Rattus norvegicus: one gene and its partner. The protein of the gene in region 1 purifies or fractionates together with the protein of each later gene. This does not show direct contact. Links are inferred from orthologs where the notes say so. Each region holds a gene or a part of one and is shown on either strand. Other genes may lie near its edges.

The links. The genes of interacting proteins can lie anywhere in the genome.
Region 2: the proteins of Sf3a2 (region 1) and Ddx42 purify together in Homo sapiens (affinity purification with mass spectrometry; 3 studies listed by BioGRID and IntAct, with this or other methods). This does not show direct contact. The link is inferred for Rattus norvegicus from reciprocal best matches to the Homo sapiens genes SF3A2 and DDX42.

What each region holds. Positions count from the first base shown.
Region 1 is NC_086025.1:9,561,000-9,569,052, reverse strand, and holds the start of Sf3a2 (splicing factor 3A subunit 2), read left to right. Parts: upstream 1-2,853; 5' UTR 2,854-2,892; intron 2,893-5,287; 5' UTR 5,288-5,323; coding exon 5,324-5,449; intron 5,450-5,558; coding exon 5,559-5,630; intron 5,631-6,428; coding exon 6,429-6,475; intron 6,476-6,818; coding exon 6,819-6,928; intron 6,929-7,454; coding exon 7,455-7,504; intron 7,505-7,585; coding exon 7,586-7,726; intron 7,727-7,814; coding exon 7,815-7,883; intron 7,884-7,960; coding exon 7,961-8,053. Other genes in the region: Plekhj1 (pleckstrin homology domain-containing family J member 1), read right to left, coding at 683-746, 824-914, 1,909-1,975, 2,216-2,465, 2,579-2,757. UniProt on the Homo sapiens protein: Component of the 17S U2 SnRNP complex of the spliceosome, a large ribonucleoprotein complex that removes introns from transcribed pre-mRNAs.
Region 2 is NC_086028.1:91,667,808-91,675,197, reverse strand, and holds part of Ddx42 (ATP-dependent RNA helicase DDX42), read right to left. Parts: coding exon 7,336-7,390; intron 6,106-7,335; coding exon 5,977-6,105; intron 5,275-5,976; coding exon 5,175-5,274; intron 4,641-5,174; coding exon 4,593-4,640; intron 3,949-4,592; coding exon 3,851-3,948; intron 1,706-3,850; coding exon 1,429-1,705; intron 187-1,428; coding exon 1-186. UniProt on the Homo sapiens protein: ATP-dependent RNA helicase that binds to partially double-stranded RNAs (dsRNAs) in order to unwind RNA secondary structures. Unwinding is promoted in the presence of single-strand binding proteins.

The sequences.
Region 1 (8,053 bases):
GGATCAGGCACATGGAAAACAAAGGCTTGTTCGCCCCAAAATCCTGCCTGTAGCTGCACCTGCACTTCTGCGTGTTCCACCAACCCACCTTTCCTGGTTGTTTTGTTTTTCCAGACAGGGTTTCTCTCTCTAGCCCTGGCTGTCTTGGAAAGAGCCTCTTCTCTCTGCCCCCTAAATAGTGCCCACCAGCAATGTCTCCCTCCTTTTTCTCACTCCAATGTGATTCACAAAAGAGGTACCTTTATTAAAGAGTGGGCTCAGCACTGAAGGCCAGCACCAACGCCTGCTCTATCAGCAGGAGTGGGGTTCACAGCTTTAGCATTATACATTCATCTGGCCATGGACAGGGGCGCTGTCCCTGGATGTGCACAGTCAAAGGGTGCCAGCAGGGAGATGGCAGGGAGAGCAAGGACCACAGACCCTGCCTACCTCCTCTGGACCTTTGAACAGATGTATTTAAACCTATTTAAAAAACAAAACTTCCCAGGGTAGCCGGGGGCCCAGAGGGGGTCAGTCCAACACATGTAGCTGGGAGCCAATGCAAGAAGCATCCTTAGGCAGGCTACTCAGCTGGAACCTGGCCTCCTCGGAGATGCCGAACTGCTCCAGCGGGTCCTGTGGAATGCACAGTGATTGTGAGCAGGGCCAGGGAAAACTGCCCGGTCCCTCCAGCCCCACACACCTTGCCGGTCATCTTCCTGATCTCATTCCTGTAGAAGATGAGGCTCCGTCTCATGTATTCGTAGCTGGAGGAAAGGGCTGGGCTCACTGGTCACATTCCCCCATGTTTCCACCCAGCTCCCAGCAGTCCCTAAAGCCCCACCTGGCCCGCTGCAGAGCCTCCATCCATTCCTGGCACTGCTCTTGGCTACAGCATTCAAAGTGATATTTCCTGCTGAGGTCTTCCACGAAGCCTGGAAAGGGATAAAGGAAAGACGCCACCTCTTGTCACTGTCAGGTTGGTCTATATCCTGCTGGCCCCAAGTCCCAGCTTCTTCTCAACAGGGTTTCAAACTGAACTTGTTTCAAACTTGTTCTAACACCAAGCCATCTTCTGCCTGTCACAGGCTGAAGAATCCTGACCTCTGAACTCACAAATAGGGGACCCACTGGGAAGTTGGATTATTGGGAATGTAATTGGCTAAGTAAGGTCATTCCCAAAATAAATGGGAATAGGACAGGGCAGATGGCTCAGTGGTTAAAGTGCCTCATGTAATCGTGAGGCCCTGAGTTCAAGCCCCAGCAGTGCACGTCAAAGAGCAGAGTGCAACTCCGTGCTGAAGAGACCGATTTGCTGGCCGGTCAATATAGCTTAAAAACAAGTCCGGGTTGGGACAGTGAGGTGGCCAAGCAGGTAGGAGCCTGCTGACAAGCCTAATGACCAGTGTTTTATGTTGGAGGCCTACACAGTGGAAGATGAAATCCAACTACACAAGTTTTCCGCTGGCCTTTCTGGCATACTCACACCCAGAAACCCATGCGTGCACATGTACAAGAAGCAGAAAATAGGGGTACAGATGGAGAACCCCACTGGATGACAGAGGTAGACACGATGGACAAATCTCTACAAGGTACGCAGCAGAAAGACCTCTCCAGAGGTGAAGGCTGAGACAGGTGTCCTTCAAGGCCTCAAAGCCCTGCCCGCACACTCACTCCCACGGCAGAGACTGCTTCAGTTATACACACCAAGTTCACAGACTGCACCTCTCTCGGCCGTAAACCGGCAGAGGATCGGGGAAGAAACTAAGATGAGAACCTGACCCAGTGGTCACTCTGAGTGACAGCTGGGACAGTCATGGGCCACCAGCGGACGCGAGATCCAGGACAAATGGAGATTCCTAAGGGAGTAAAAAGGATCGCGTGCGCGGAGCAGAGTCCGGGGTGGAAAGTGGGGAACAGAACACTTACTGATGGAGAAGCCTCCCGGCTCTTCCTGGGCCACTCTGCAGCGCTCCAGCAACAGGGCTCCGAGGGGCTGCGCGAGACACGGCCATGAGCACCGGCCTCTGGGCCGCGCGGGTCCCCCGCGCCCCCCACACCCCTACCTCGGCCTCGTCCGGGCGGAAGTAAAAGAGGAAGTTGACCACCAGCTTCACCAGCCGCCTCTTGGCCACTGCAGGCAGAGGGCGGTGTCAGCGCGCAACTGCTGTCATCCGCCCACCGGGGAACCCCGCGGCCCGCCCAAGTGTCCCAGCCCCGGCCCGGACCAGCTCACCGCTGCCCTTCTTGGGGCCCCGCATGCCCAGCTCGGCCGCCATCTCTGCCGGCTGCCGGGACAGCGCTTGCAACTCTTTCTCGTTGTACCGCATCTCGCCGCCCGGATCCGCGCGAACCAAAACGCGCCCTGCCTCTCGGCCGCCGTCCTGCCCGAAGCCGCTACTAGCGCCACAAAAGTCTCAGGAAGCGACCTCGTAAGTCCCAACGGTGCTACTGCGCCTGCGCGTTGTTGGGCGTGTTGCGTGACGCTAGTTGGTGGGTCAGCACAGTAGAACAAGGAGTCGGACGGGAAGGAAATCGCCCGTCCTTAAATAACCGTCAGACACACTGAACGTGGGGTGTAAATTTAGACTCATAGCACCTCACGATACGCGAAGCTCGTTCCCGGGCCTGTGAACCCTGAGGTTTAAGTCCTGTCGCGATAGTCAGCGCCAACAGAGTTAGGGCGGAGCAAGAATTCGTAGACAATGCAGTGCGCACGCGTACTCCGTGTCCCGGCGCTCTTTTTTTTTTCTCCCGCCTCCCGTAGGGGGAGTCCATTCGCTGGGCATGCGCACACATGAAACTCCGCCTTCCTTGCCCCCGGAAGTGATTGCTCAAGCGGTCGTGCGCATGCGCACAACAAAATCGCGGCATTCGGGGAGGTTAAGCCCAGTTACCGAGGCCTTGGTGTTGGTAAGGAACTACGCGGTTTGTCGGTGGCGGCTGCCCCGTCTGTGGGTCTTGAAAGTAGGAGCGAGAGCGTGGGGCCTGGCGGGGCAGCGGCCGCCCTTTCCCCTTAGGCGTGGCGCACCCTCGCCCTAAGAGCGCGGTCTCGCGAGGTCCTTTGAGTCGTGGCGTGATCGCGGACTTTTGTGGCGGTTCCGTGGCCTCTAGGGTGGTTCGGGTTCTTGGAATGTCATTTAACCTGCTTGTTTGCCTCAGTTTCCCTCGCCGTTAGTCAGGGCCATGGCGACTACTGCTCCTGTCCACTGTAGTAGGTCTGTTGCTCGGATTAAAAGATAACGGTATATGCATTTAAAAGTGATTTGCGGGGTTGGGGATTTAGCTCAGTGGTAGAGCGCTTGCCTAGCAAGCGCAAGGCCCTGAGTTCGGTCCCCAGCTCCGAAAAATAGAAAAAAGAAAAAAAAAGTGATTTGCCTTTAGACCAGGCAGGCCTTCTCCCAGACCGTGACCTTAACATATACTACTCTTCTGTTTCTATTGATCGTTCATCGGTAATCTTAGAGTAGTCCGTGAGGTCGCACGGCTCCCAACCATTCATCCTGGTCTCTTGTCCCAGGCTTCACTTGTGAGTCCATCCAGTCATCGGCACAATTTTACTTTATTTCAGACAGCGTCTCACGGCATAACTGAGGCTGACCTGGAACCCTGTGTGGACTAGGCCGATTTCGAGCTCACATACACTCCCATACCTCTGCCTCCCGCATACTGAGATTTACAGCGTGTGCCACTACACTTGACTGTTTTGTTTTAAGGAAGGTTTATTTTGACTGATAGTATGAAGGTGCAGTCCACTATGGTGGTCGTGTTACAGCCATAGTCAGGAAGCAGATAAAAGCTGGTATTGGAATCCCTTTCCCGTGTTTTTAAAGATTTTTTTTCCAAATGTGTGTCCATGTGGAGCTTCATGTGTGAGTATGATAACGTCAAGTCCAGGAGAGACTGTCAGGTTCCCTGGAGCTGGAGTTTCTGGTGGTTGTGATCTGCCACTAAGTCATCTTGCCAGCCTACCCAGCACCCTTTTGTCTTTTATTTGAGACAGATCTCACTGCACAGCCCAGTTTGGTCTCAAATTATACCCATCATCTTTCTACCTTGGCCTCTAAGGGAGCTGGAAGGAAATGTATACACTGCCATGCCCCATGTTTTCTGTTTCCTGAGGTTGGGAACTGTTGGTGGGCTGAGGCGGTAGTTCATTGGTGAGCGTTTGCAAAACTTTGTGCTCCATCCACTGGGCCAAGCAGTATGCTCACCCAGGCCAGTTTTATTCTGCTTTCCTTCCAAAGCTGATGAACTACATTTCTGCAGTGGATATCCATGCACTCAACCTCAAGCATGCCCCCCCAGGGGACCCAGTGCATGCTGGACAAGTGTTCTCCTTGAGTGGCACCGTCAAGTCTGTGGATGGACACCCAGCCTCCCTGGGGAGGCCAGCCACAGAGTCCTATGTTCTCAAGAGTTGTCTTTGCCTGAGCCTGGAGTGGTTTTCCATCCTGCTGCTGCTGCTTGTGGGTGCCCCTAACTCTGAGAAGCCAATTGATTCTCCCACCGTTTGGCTGTACTCTCGTGTCTGGCCAGCTTCATCTCTGGGAGTGTGTCTGTTGGTAGCTCTGGATGATGTAGACGATGCCCTTCTCAGTCTTTGGCTGAGTACAAAACATCTAATAGGCTGCTCCTGTCCCGCCACTTCAGTGTACACCTCTCAAGCCGTCCCTCTCAGCACCTAGAGCATCCTGTATCCTTTGCCTTCTGGCCTCTTCCTCCTTGACAGCCAGTGCTGTCAGTGGCCTGTCAGCCTTGAGCACACTCTAGTGACATTGTAGTAACTGGGTACCTGCCCTCAAGGTTCTTGGTCACATTTGTAGAGCCCCTTGTGCTATGGGAGGCACCAGTGATGATGACAAGAGCTGTCTCTACTTGTCTCCTGGTCGCTGGCCCTGGGTTTACTGTAGGTTTACCAGTAGACTGAGTAGTCTTAAGTGTTCTGCCTCAGGTAACACTGTCTGGAGGCTTTGGCTGAGCCTCCAAGGTGAGACCCTTGGTATCGAGCATTCCTTGTGTCAGGCAGAGGAGGGTGTGTCCTCTAATGCCAGCAGAGGTAGGCAGAGGCCAGCCTAATGTGTGAGGAGAGTTCTAAGATAGCCATGACTACGTAGAGACTCCTCCCTCAATAATAACAACAACAATAATAGTAATCATATGTTACATCAGGGAGAGGCGGCTCAATGGTAGTCACAGCACTTGGGAGGATCAGGAGGTCAGAGAAGGGATGGCTTGCATGCTGGGCCATCCCGCGGTCCTAGCATCATCAGCAGGGTTCTAAGCCTTAGTCTTCCTTGCTCCCCAGGTTTCTCCTGTCCCCTAAAGTACCCAGGCCTGCATCATGGACTTTCAGCACCGACCTGGAGGCAAAACTGGGAGTGGGGGCGTGGCCTCCTCCTCAGAGAGCAACCGGGATCGAAGAGAGCGCCTGCGGCAACTGGCCCTGGAAACCATCGACATCAATAAGGTGGGGGAGGGAGAGTCTCCAGGCCTGCAGAGCCCTCACCTTGCCCACCTTGGTCCTTGGGTCCCGGGGCCAGGCTGTGCGGTCTCACGGTACATTTCTTCACTCCCAGGACCCGTATTTCATGAAGAACCACCTGGGATCCTATGAGTGCAAACTCTGCTTGACTCTGCATAACAATGAGGTACCTGCCCACCAGACTTCCACCATTCTGCACTGGCCTGGTGACACTGGTCGGCCTTGGACCTGTCACCTGGAGCCAACCACTCCCTTAGTATTGCTCTGGTTTCCTTGAATTCCTTTTTTTCTTATCCCTGGGGGTCAGAGCTCAGCCTAGGGCTTAGCCATGCTGGGTAAGAAGTGAACTTCATCCCTGGTCAGTCCTTGAGGCAGCACTGACTAGCCTGGGGCTCACTGTACTCCTGATGCCCCTGCCTCTGTCCCTGCCGGCCCTCTAACATAACAACACAGGTTGGCTGGGCACCAGCTACTCCTTATCCTTTTCCTCTGACTGTTTGCTCTGTGAATGCCTTGCAAATAGTAATGGATGCCTCTGCACTCTGAGGGCTCAGGGAGAGGTGTGGCTGCTGACTCTTTCTGGGGGGAGAGGACTCTGGGAGTTGCCTCCCCACCCCTCTCACTGGAGGACCAGATCAACAGTGGATGGAACACATTTGGCTGTGTTGACAATGGGGTGGTGATGAGCAGTGCCCTAGGCCCCACACCTCTGTTGGGAGCTCCTTCAAACCGCTGCCCATCCCCGGCGGTGGGCTCAGCACTGAAGACTGACGGTGTTGCTCTACCCCTACTCAGAGGAATCTCTGGGCAGGGATGGGTGCAGTAACAAGTCACAAGTCTCCCAAGTGCAGCCACAGCTACTGTAAGGCCCCGCAGGCTCCCCAGGGCTACCATTACAGCTGCTCTGCGAGGTGCCGGTCCTGCCCGCCCCACCCTCAGCTGCCTGTCTTCTTTCTCTTTGCAGGGGAGCTACCTGGCCCATACCCAAGGGAAGAAACATCAGACTAACTTGTGAGCGCTCACAGCCCTGGTACCCCAGTACCACAACGCTGCTACTCAGGAGGGGACCCTTCACTTGAGCTGTGTGGATGGGGAGGGAAGGGGACAGGTGGCCTGCATCTACATTCTCAGCCCCACCCCCACCCTGTGTTTCAGCCTGACTGTCTCAGTACAGAGCAGATGGCCAAGGGGCAAGGACAGTGGTGGTGCCACATTGTCACCTATCCTGCCCTGCTTGGTGTATCCCAGGGCTGAACCACCCAATCTTCTTGAACTCAGAGAGCAGGGGCTCTGGCACCTGGGTGCTTGGCCTTGGTGACTGGTGGAGGGGCCAAGCACCTGCGTCTGTTCACAGGGCCCGGCGAGCTGCCAAGGAGGCCAAAGAAGCCCCCGCCCAGCCTGCACCAGAGAAGGTCAAGGTGGAGGTGAAGAAGTTTGTGAAGATTGGCCGCCCTGGCTACAAAGGTGTGTGTGTGTGTCTGTGTGTGATGGCCAGCCCACAACTGTGGGCTGTGGCATGAATGAATCCTGGGCTCTGGTACCCGACATACTCTTGACCCTGGGACACACAGCCACCTTCTCTGTTCTCATAGCAGTCATTCCCTTAGTGTTGCCAAGAGCCCCCAGGTGCTGATAAGCACCATTCCTCACTGGCAACTTCCAGAAGAAGGAGGGGGAGGCAGGTGGTTGCAGTCACTGCTCTGGAACCCCTGTGGCCAGAAAACCAGTTATATGACCAGCAGGAACCCTGGGAGCCAAGTTCCCAAGAGTCCTCTTTGGCAGGCAGGGTCCTGGTGAGGCTGACACAGGACTGCCCCGCCATGCTCTTCCGAGACTTCGGCTGCTGTCCCTACTTAGAATGCTGGGTTGGGCTGCCCTCACTTTAGGTCCCAGCCATGTGGCCTCAGGGCAGAGAGGCCAGAACTTGTACGTAGGGACCCTGTTTTGGTGTGCACCCATGCACATGACAGCCCCATCCCCTCTGTTTCAGTGACCAAGCAGAGGGACACAGAGATGGGCCAGCAGAGCCTACTGTTCCAGGTGAGGTGGGACCAGTCGGGTGGACAGGACACAGGGGTTGGGGGCTGTGTTTGTGCCAACACTGCCATGCATGTTCCACAGATTGACTACCCTGAGATTGCAGAGGGTGTCATGCCCCGCCACCGCTTCATGTCTGCCTATGAGCAGAGGATCGAGCCCCCGGACCGCCGCTGGCAGTACCTCCTCATGGCTGCTGAGCCCTATGAGACCATCGCCTTCAAGGTAATGACCCTGCAGGAGAGACAGAGCAGGGCAGCTAGATCCAGCCCTTCCCTGGGGTGCTGCAGCCTCTGCCTCCCTCCCTCCCTAGGTGCCGAGCCGCGAGATCGACAAGGCTGAGGGCAAGTTTTGGACCCACTGGAACCGAGAGACCAAGCAGGTGAGGCTCCGAAGGCCCTGCATGGGTATCCCCCGGCCCCACGCCCTGCCCAGTCACTGACACACCCTCCTCTGCAGTTTTTTCTTCAGTTCCACTTTAAGATGGAGAAGCCCCCAGCCCCTCCCAGCCTCCCAGCAGGACCCCCAGGCGTCAAGCGGCCCCCGCCCCCA
Region 2 (7,390 bases), on another chromosome or scaffold:
TGGCTCCTTCCAGGTTCCGTACAAGGTCACCAGCAAAATTGCTGTCCTTTGGGGTCAGTAAGGTATAGGCTACACCCTTCTCACCAGCTCTTCCTGTTCGGCCAATCCTATGAGTATGGGTATCAATGTCTCGTGCAACATCATAGTTAATGACTGTCTTAATTGAAGGAATATCCAGACCACGGGCTGAAATAGAAAGTATTGAGATTCTTTTACTTTTTATCTATATTTAAGAAAAAATAAAAAATGAATTAACTAGAAATGCTAGATTTATAAGATTGTGCATTTCCCATATCTAGGCAAGCTCATGGATATGAAGCCAAGAATAAAAAGTAGTTCACTCTATTGGGAGTAACATGAATATTAAAAAAAATCCTGTGAATAATTTTACTGGAATCATACCTGCAATCCCAATACTTGAAAGATGCAGGCGGGATTGGAGTTCAAGGTCACTTGAGCTATCATAAGAATTCATCTCAAAAATACAAACCAGGCAGGGTGCTGCACACCTTCAGTCCCAGTGCTCAGGGGGCAGAGGCGGGTGAATCTCTTGAGTTTGAGGCCAGCCTGGTCTACAGAGTGAGTTCCAGGACAGCAAGGGCTACATAGAGAAATCCTGTCTTGAAAAGTAAAACGAAACAAAACAAAACAAAAACAAAACCCACCAAAACAAACCCCCAAACAAACAAACAAACTAAAATAAGCCCCCCCAAACCCCATACGTTAGTCCTCTAAGGGCTGTAATTCAGTTAGTATTGTGTTTACACGAGGACCTGAGTTCAGTACCCAGAACCTGTGTGTGCATGTGTGTGTGTGTATGTATGCATGTATGCATGCATACATGCATACACCACAGCTTATGTATAGAGGATAGAAAACAACTTGTGGGGTCAGGTTTTCTCGTTCCACCATATCTGAGTCTTGAGTACCAAGCTCAGGCTGTCAGGGCTGGTTAGCAAGTACCCAGTGAACCATCTCGCAGGTCCAAAAAACTAGCTTTTTTTTTTAAAAAGGTTTATTTATTTTATGTATATGAGTACACTGTAGCTGTCTTCAGATACACCAGAAGAGGGCATCAGATCTTATTATAGATGGTTGTGAACCACCATGTGGTTGCTGGGGATTGAACTCAGGACCTCTGGAAGAACTGTCAGTGCTCTTAACCCCTGAGCCATCTCTCCAGCCCCAAAAAACTAGTTTTTAAGGGCAGCTGCTAACCTTAGCAGGGTAAAGCCAAACTTATATTACTAACTTAAGATACACATTGCAGTGAACATGAGGGCATAACTGTTTTCCCCAAGGCATCCTCTGATGACCAAGAACAGTAAGTAAAGGTGGCCACAGAGCCACTGCTCTATATAGGTCTCATTACAGGGAAGGGCAACAGCCATAAAATAAAGGCTCGGGTTATGAAATTTGTACTCTTACCTGCAACGTCAGTGGCCACCAGGACGGGGATGTCTTTTTTCTTAAAATCTAAAATGACCTTGTTTCTTTCACTCTGATCCATGTCCCCATGGAGCAGACCAAGATTATGACCCTCCTGCTTAAGGTTATTGGCCAGTTCTTCAGCGTTGGCTTTCTTGGTAACAAACAAGAGGACACTCCCGGAAGAAGTAAACTCTACCAGACGCCGAGTGAGCCAGTTCCATTTACTAGGTCCAGAATGGAGAATCTCCACAATCTGTGTTACGTCTTCATTTGCCTAAGAGGAAATAAAACAACCAATCATGACTGGTGCCATAGGAGACATCAAAGACTAGGTATTATATTTTCTACCTGCATGGGATTACCCTCTTATTTTTGGGGTTTCCTTAAGTATGTCAAATCCTTACTTACTTAAGTTACTTACTTACTTAGTAAGCTTAAAACTTACTATTCCTTTAAAGCACCTTGCTCACCAACTCCCCCTGGTATGTTCATTTCTAATTTGTATGCCAAAACAATCTGTAATGGCTGTTATATACCTATTTTTATCATTCCCTGGGAAGTACTTTTCAGGGGCCTGCCCGCTCGCTGTCAAACACAATTTATATGTAAGTACATTAACAATTAAGACCCCGACATTTAAAGGTGCTTACCACTCAGAAACTTTAATAATAATCATGAAAAGTTGTAGATATGGTTGACTAATAAATATGTATTTCAATAAAGATCTGTTTCCAACACCAAGAAAGGATAACTATTGGAGGTGTTAGATATTTAATACATGTATGTAATTACACATTACATACATGTATTAAACTGCCACACTGTATCCCCTGAATATTTGTAGTTATGTGTTAAAAACTCTATTGTCCTAGTTGGATTTTTATCAAATTGACACAAAAGAGGCACCTCCATTGACTAAATTACTGTAGGGAATCTGTGGAGTATTTTCTTAGTTAATTGAGAGGGAGAGTCCAGCCTACTGGAGGTGGTAACAACATCTTGGAGTAGGTGGTCCTGGGTTGTATAAGAAAATAGGCTGAGCAAGTCATGGGAGCAGGTCAAGGAACAGTGTTCCTTTCTCCATGGCCTGGGTTTCAGGTCCTGACTTCTCTTCACTCGATTGTACACTAAAATAAACCCTTTCCTTCCCTAGTTGTTTTTGGTCATGGTATTTATCACAGCAACAAAAACCAAGACATTTACATTAAAAAAAAAAAAGTAAAAGTTTCTGGCCTCCATGTGCTAAGGAACACGTGTGAAGGTCAAAGAATAATTTACAGAAATCAGTTTTCACCTTTGACCACGTGAAATGAGGATTGAATTCAGGTTTAGAGGCAAGCACAACTGGCTGAGCCATCTACTGGCCCCAAGGAATTAACAACCTTAACTGAATTCCAAATTCCAACTCAGAGAAATCACCGCGTAAGGGCATATGCAGGGATTCCATGCCACCCTGTGTAGTCTGCTTTAACAGTCAGTGAATGTCTGTTCTGTTCTAATTTCCTGAGGCTTCCAGGAAGATCGTTTGTGAGACAGGGCTTCTCAGTGTAGTATCTCTGGCTGTCCTGGAGCTCACTATGTAGACCAGGTTGGCCACCTGCCTCTGCTGCTTGAGCCGGGATTCAAGAAGTGTGCCACTGCTACCCAGCTCTTTTAAAACTTTAAAACATGTGGAAAAAGCCAGCTGGTGTTTCACGCCTTTAGTCCCAACACTCAGTAGGCAGAAACAGGGATATTTCTGAGTTCAAGGCCAGTCTACACACAGTGAGTTCCAGGACAGCCAGAGAGAGCTACATAGTGAGACCTTGTCTCAAAAAAAAAAAAAAAAAAAAAAAAAAATCCCATATACCCTTCTATGAATCATCTTGTCTGTGCCCCTCTTGTTTGCACGATTCCCTTAACGTGTATATCTTAAAACAAATCCAGGGGCTGGAGAGATAGATGACTTAGCCTTTAAGAACACTAGCTGCTCTTCCAAAAGTCAGGGGTTCAATTCCCAGCATCCACATAGCAGCTCACAACTATCTGTAACTCTAGTTCCAGAGGACCCAATACTGTCACACACATACAAGCAGGCAGAACACCAACACACGTAAAATAAAAATAAACAAATCATTTTAAAAATAGTAAAATAAACTAAATCTAACCAAGTTGCTTCATACTTAAGTGTAACGCTGTAATTCTTAAGTCACTCCTGAAGAGCCGGTACGGCAGCGCCTGCTTTTACGCCCAGCGCTTGGGAGGCAGAGTGCTTATCTACAGAGCTAGTTCCAGGGCATCCAGGGCTATAGAGAAATCCTATCTCAAAGCAAAGCAAAAACCAAGAATCCAACAACAAAGCAATCATTCCTTAAGAACTAAACTCCACGTCCTTATGACAAATCAATCCCAGGACCCTCCCTGCCTTCTGCAGGATTACCTCTCCGATGTCTCCTTGTACCACTCGGATAGGATCAATCAAGATGTCTCTGGCCAATTTTTCAATCTTTTTCCGAAAAGTTGCACTGAATAAGAGAGCTAAAAAAGATAAAGCAAATTCTGTTAAAAATCATTTTTTTACTGAATTCATTCTTTAAGCTTCTGTAATGTAACTGATTCACTAAATAAAAATGATTTAACTTCATTTTCAAACAAGAAATGAATGAGTTGCCATAATAGTTTAAGAAAAGACTTAACTTTGAATCAGATTTATACTGCAGGAAATTATTTAAGTTCAGTCTTAGTCCCAATAAAAAGTGAACAGTGTGCTGGGCCTGGTGTCATGAACCCATAATCCCAGCTATTTGGAGGAGGAAGCATGAAGGAGTACTGCAAGTTTACAGCCGACTGGGCTATAGTGAGTTCAAGGACAGCCTAGTCATCTTAGCAAGACTCTACCTAAAAAACAAGGTTAAAAAGGAGGTTGGATATACATATATAGCTCAGAGAGGTAGAGTGTTTGTCTAACGTACATGAAGCCATAGGTTCGATACCAGAGGCAACAACAAGACACCTGATGATGTCTAAGGTCTTTTCTAGGTCAAATAAATGTCATTAACTCTCTTCTTTGCAGCACTCGTCAGTACATAAATAGCAATTTTTGCTTCTATAGCAATGAGTACTTATAAAGGATCAGGGTTCACTTCGAATACAGAGATAGCATACAGCTGCTTCATACATACTTTGTCTGTCAGGACGGACATGACTTGCTATGGACCGAACCTGATACTCTGAAAGAAACAGAACAGTTATCAACACACTACTGTAATGTACTTAAGACAGGTGTGAAAATTCACTTTAGTAAAATCCAAGAACTTTCACGAATTAAAAAAGCCTTGAAACTCCTAGACACCATTCAGTATGAAATTTCAAAACACCCAACATAACTGAACTGGGTAGATAGTGGTTATTTAGAAATTTGTATAGCTCAGTTAAGAAAAGGACCCTGGATGATTCAGTATTCACCTATCCATAGGAATATAGACTTTAACCAACTTTAATCTTCAAAGGCCTGCAAGTGAAAGTGAAGAACAGAAAACATTCCTTCTTTCTGAAGATACGTGCAAATTTTTTCAACACAGTCAAGACTAGCACACTTCTCTTCAGAAAACTACAAATGGTTTATGGCTTGGCCTATCCCTTTATTTGAAACCCCGAAGAGTTTTTAACTTCTTTCATGACGAAAAGTACTGGTTAACTCTACAAAGATACGGAAAAAACTAACTTAAGACTAGGGACAGGAGAAACTAATACTCAAGGCATACCAAACCCCATGTCGAACATTCGATCAGCTTCATCAAACACAAGGTAAGAGACTCTTTGAAGATTGGTAGCTTTTTTCTTCACATGATCAATCAGCCGACCCTGGGAGAGTCACAAAATGAGTAGTAAGTATAATCAAATCATTCAAAGACACTCTTTAGATATACTCCTGGAAAAGTGTCAATTCTTTGGTCTTGAACCAAAATGATATGACAGTCTTTCTATACCAAACCCAGAGAGTAGAAAAAGCACTTTTGGGTACTGTTCACAGATAGTCTGAGGCTCACAGAGGTCTGACTGCTACCTCTAAGTGCTGGGACTACAGGCAGGCACCACCATACTAAGTGAGACTAGAATTCTGAAAACTTCAAGTTCTTCTTTTACATTAATTCTAGCTTAAAGTCTATGGGCAAATGGGTCAGGACCTTTCTTGTAATGTACTCTGAAAAGATTTAAAATCTTATGGATGAATTTTATGCCTACCCTACATCCCCTGGGCAGGTCTAACCATTATCTGAGCATCTCTATGGTTCCTAATGTTCTTGGTAACCATAGACCCAGCTTTTAAGAGAGCCTAAGAAACCCAGTTTAAAATAGGAACTTAGAGCTGCTGATACATTAGTCATGGACATTATAACCAGACTGCTGTTCAGTCAGCCAATCAAAATGAACGAGAGCAAAGGCTGGCGCCTCACAGGATATCCTTGCCCAGCTCTCCCATATTTAGAGGGAGTCCCTCAAGAGCAATCATGCTTTCTCTATCAGGAAAGACAGACAACACATCTGAAGACAAGATATACTTACCGGGGTACACACAACAATCTCTGCCCCTTCCTGAAGGGCCTTGGCCTGCTCCCACATGCTCCCTCCTCCATATACTGCCACTGATCGAAGATTATATGCTTTCCCAAAACGCTTGCACTCGGCGTGGATCTAAGAAGTTGTTAATAATATTTTAAAAACTATAAACTTAAAAAAAAAAATAGAGTTTTTACCCAGTTTGAGTTCTGAAAACACAGTATGTGCTATTATAGAAAATTAAAATGTAGCTGTGCCTAGTGGTATAGTATAGGCTTGTAATTTAACTAGGTGGTTAAAGCAGAAAGATGGCAAGTTTTAAATCTAACCTGGGTAACTTAACAAGACACAATCTCAAAAAACAAGCTGGAGAAAAAGAAACAGGTCTGGGCATATAGATCAACACTTGTCTGGCATTCAAGGGTTGTGTTCAATTCCTATTACTGAAACACACACGCACGCACGCACACGCACACACACCCCAACCACCAAAACAATAACAACCATAAAAAACAAAAACCTGTTTAAAATCATGATCATTAGAACATGCTTAACGTCAAAATTCTTTTGTTTCTTTAGTTTCTGTTTTTTTGTTTTGAGGTAGAATCTCTGTTTCTGTCTGTCCTGAATCTGCCCTGGCCTCCTGAGCGCTGGAACAGGATGCATCGGCTACCACACCCAGCTTAACCACAGAACAAGGCTATGGTCTTCACTTGAATCACTTACCTTCTTCTTGATCCAGTCTTTCTATCAAGAAAACTGAACTCACTACACAGAAAACACTGTGAGCTTATAATATAAACAATTCCCACAATACCCACACCATTTTGAGAGTTAAAAAAAAAATCCTTATTATTGAAAATATGTAACATTTTTTCAAGACTTCACAGGGAAGATAATAATGTAAAAAACTTAATGTCAGCCACTGAACTAGATATTTAAAATGGGTAAGATGGCCAATTTTGTATACAGTTTTATCATATTTAAAACAAAAGTCAGAGGAAGTTGGGGAGATGGTTCAGTGGGCTAAACACTTGTCATGCAAGTGAGGAATGGCACTGTGACTTGTAGAAGCCACACAAGCTGGTGGGACGTGCCTGCCAAGGACCCCAGGAGCATCCAGGAGGTGGAGACAGAATATGTGGAACAGCCTCGCAGCCAGGCTAGCAGTAATAGCTCAGCAAATGTGAGAGTGAACCCTGACGACACCCAAAGTCAACCTCAGACTTCTCGTATGTGACTCCACATGTATGTGTGTGCCAAGCACGCACCTCCAAGCAACAATAACTAAACTTTATAGATCGTTCTACTCACTGTCCTTGCTAGTCCAAATGCAGAAAGGGGCCTTTCACAGGAAGCACATACCTGTTGACAAAGCTCCCTAGTAGGACACACAATCACTGCAATTGGTCCATCACCT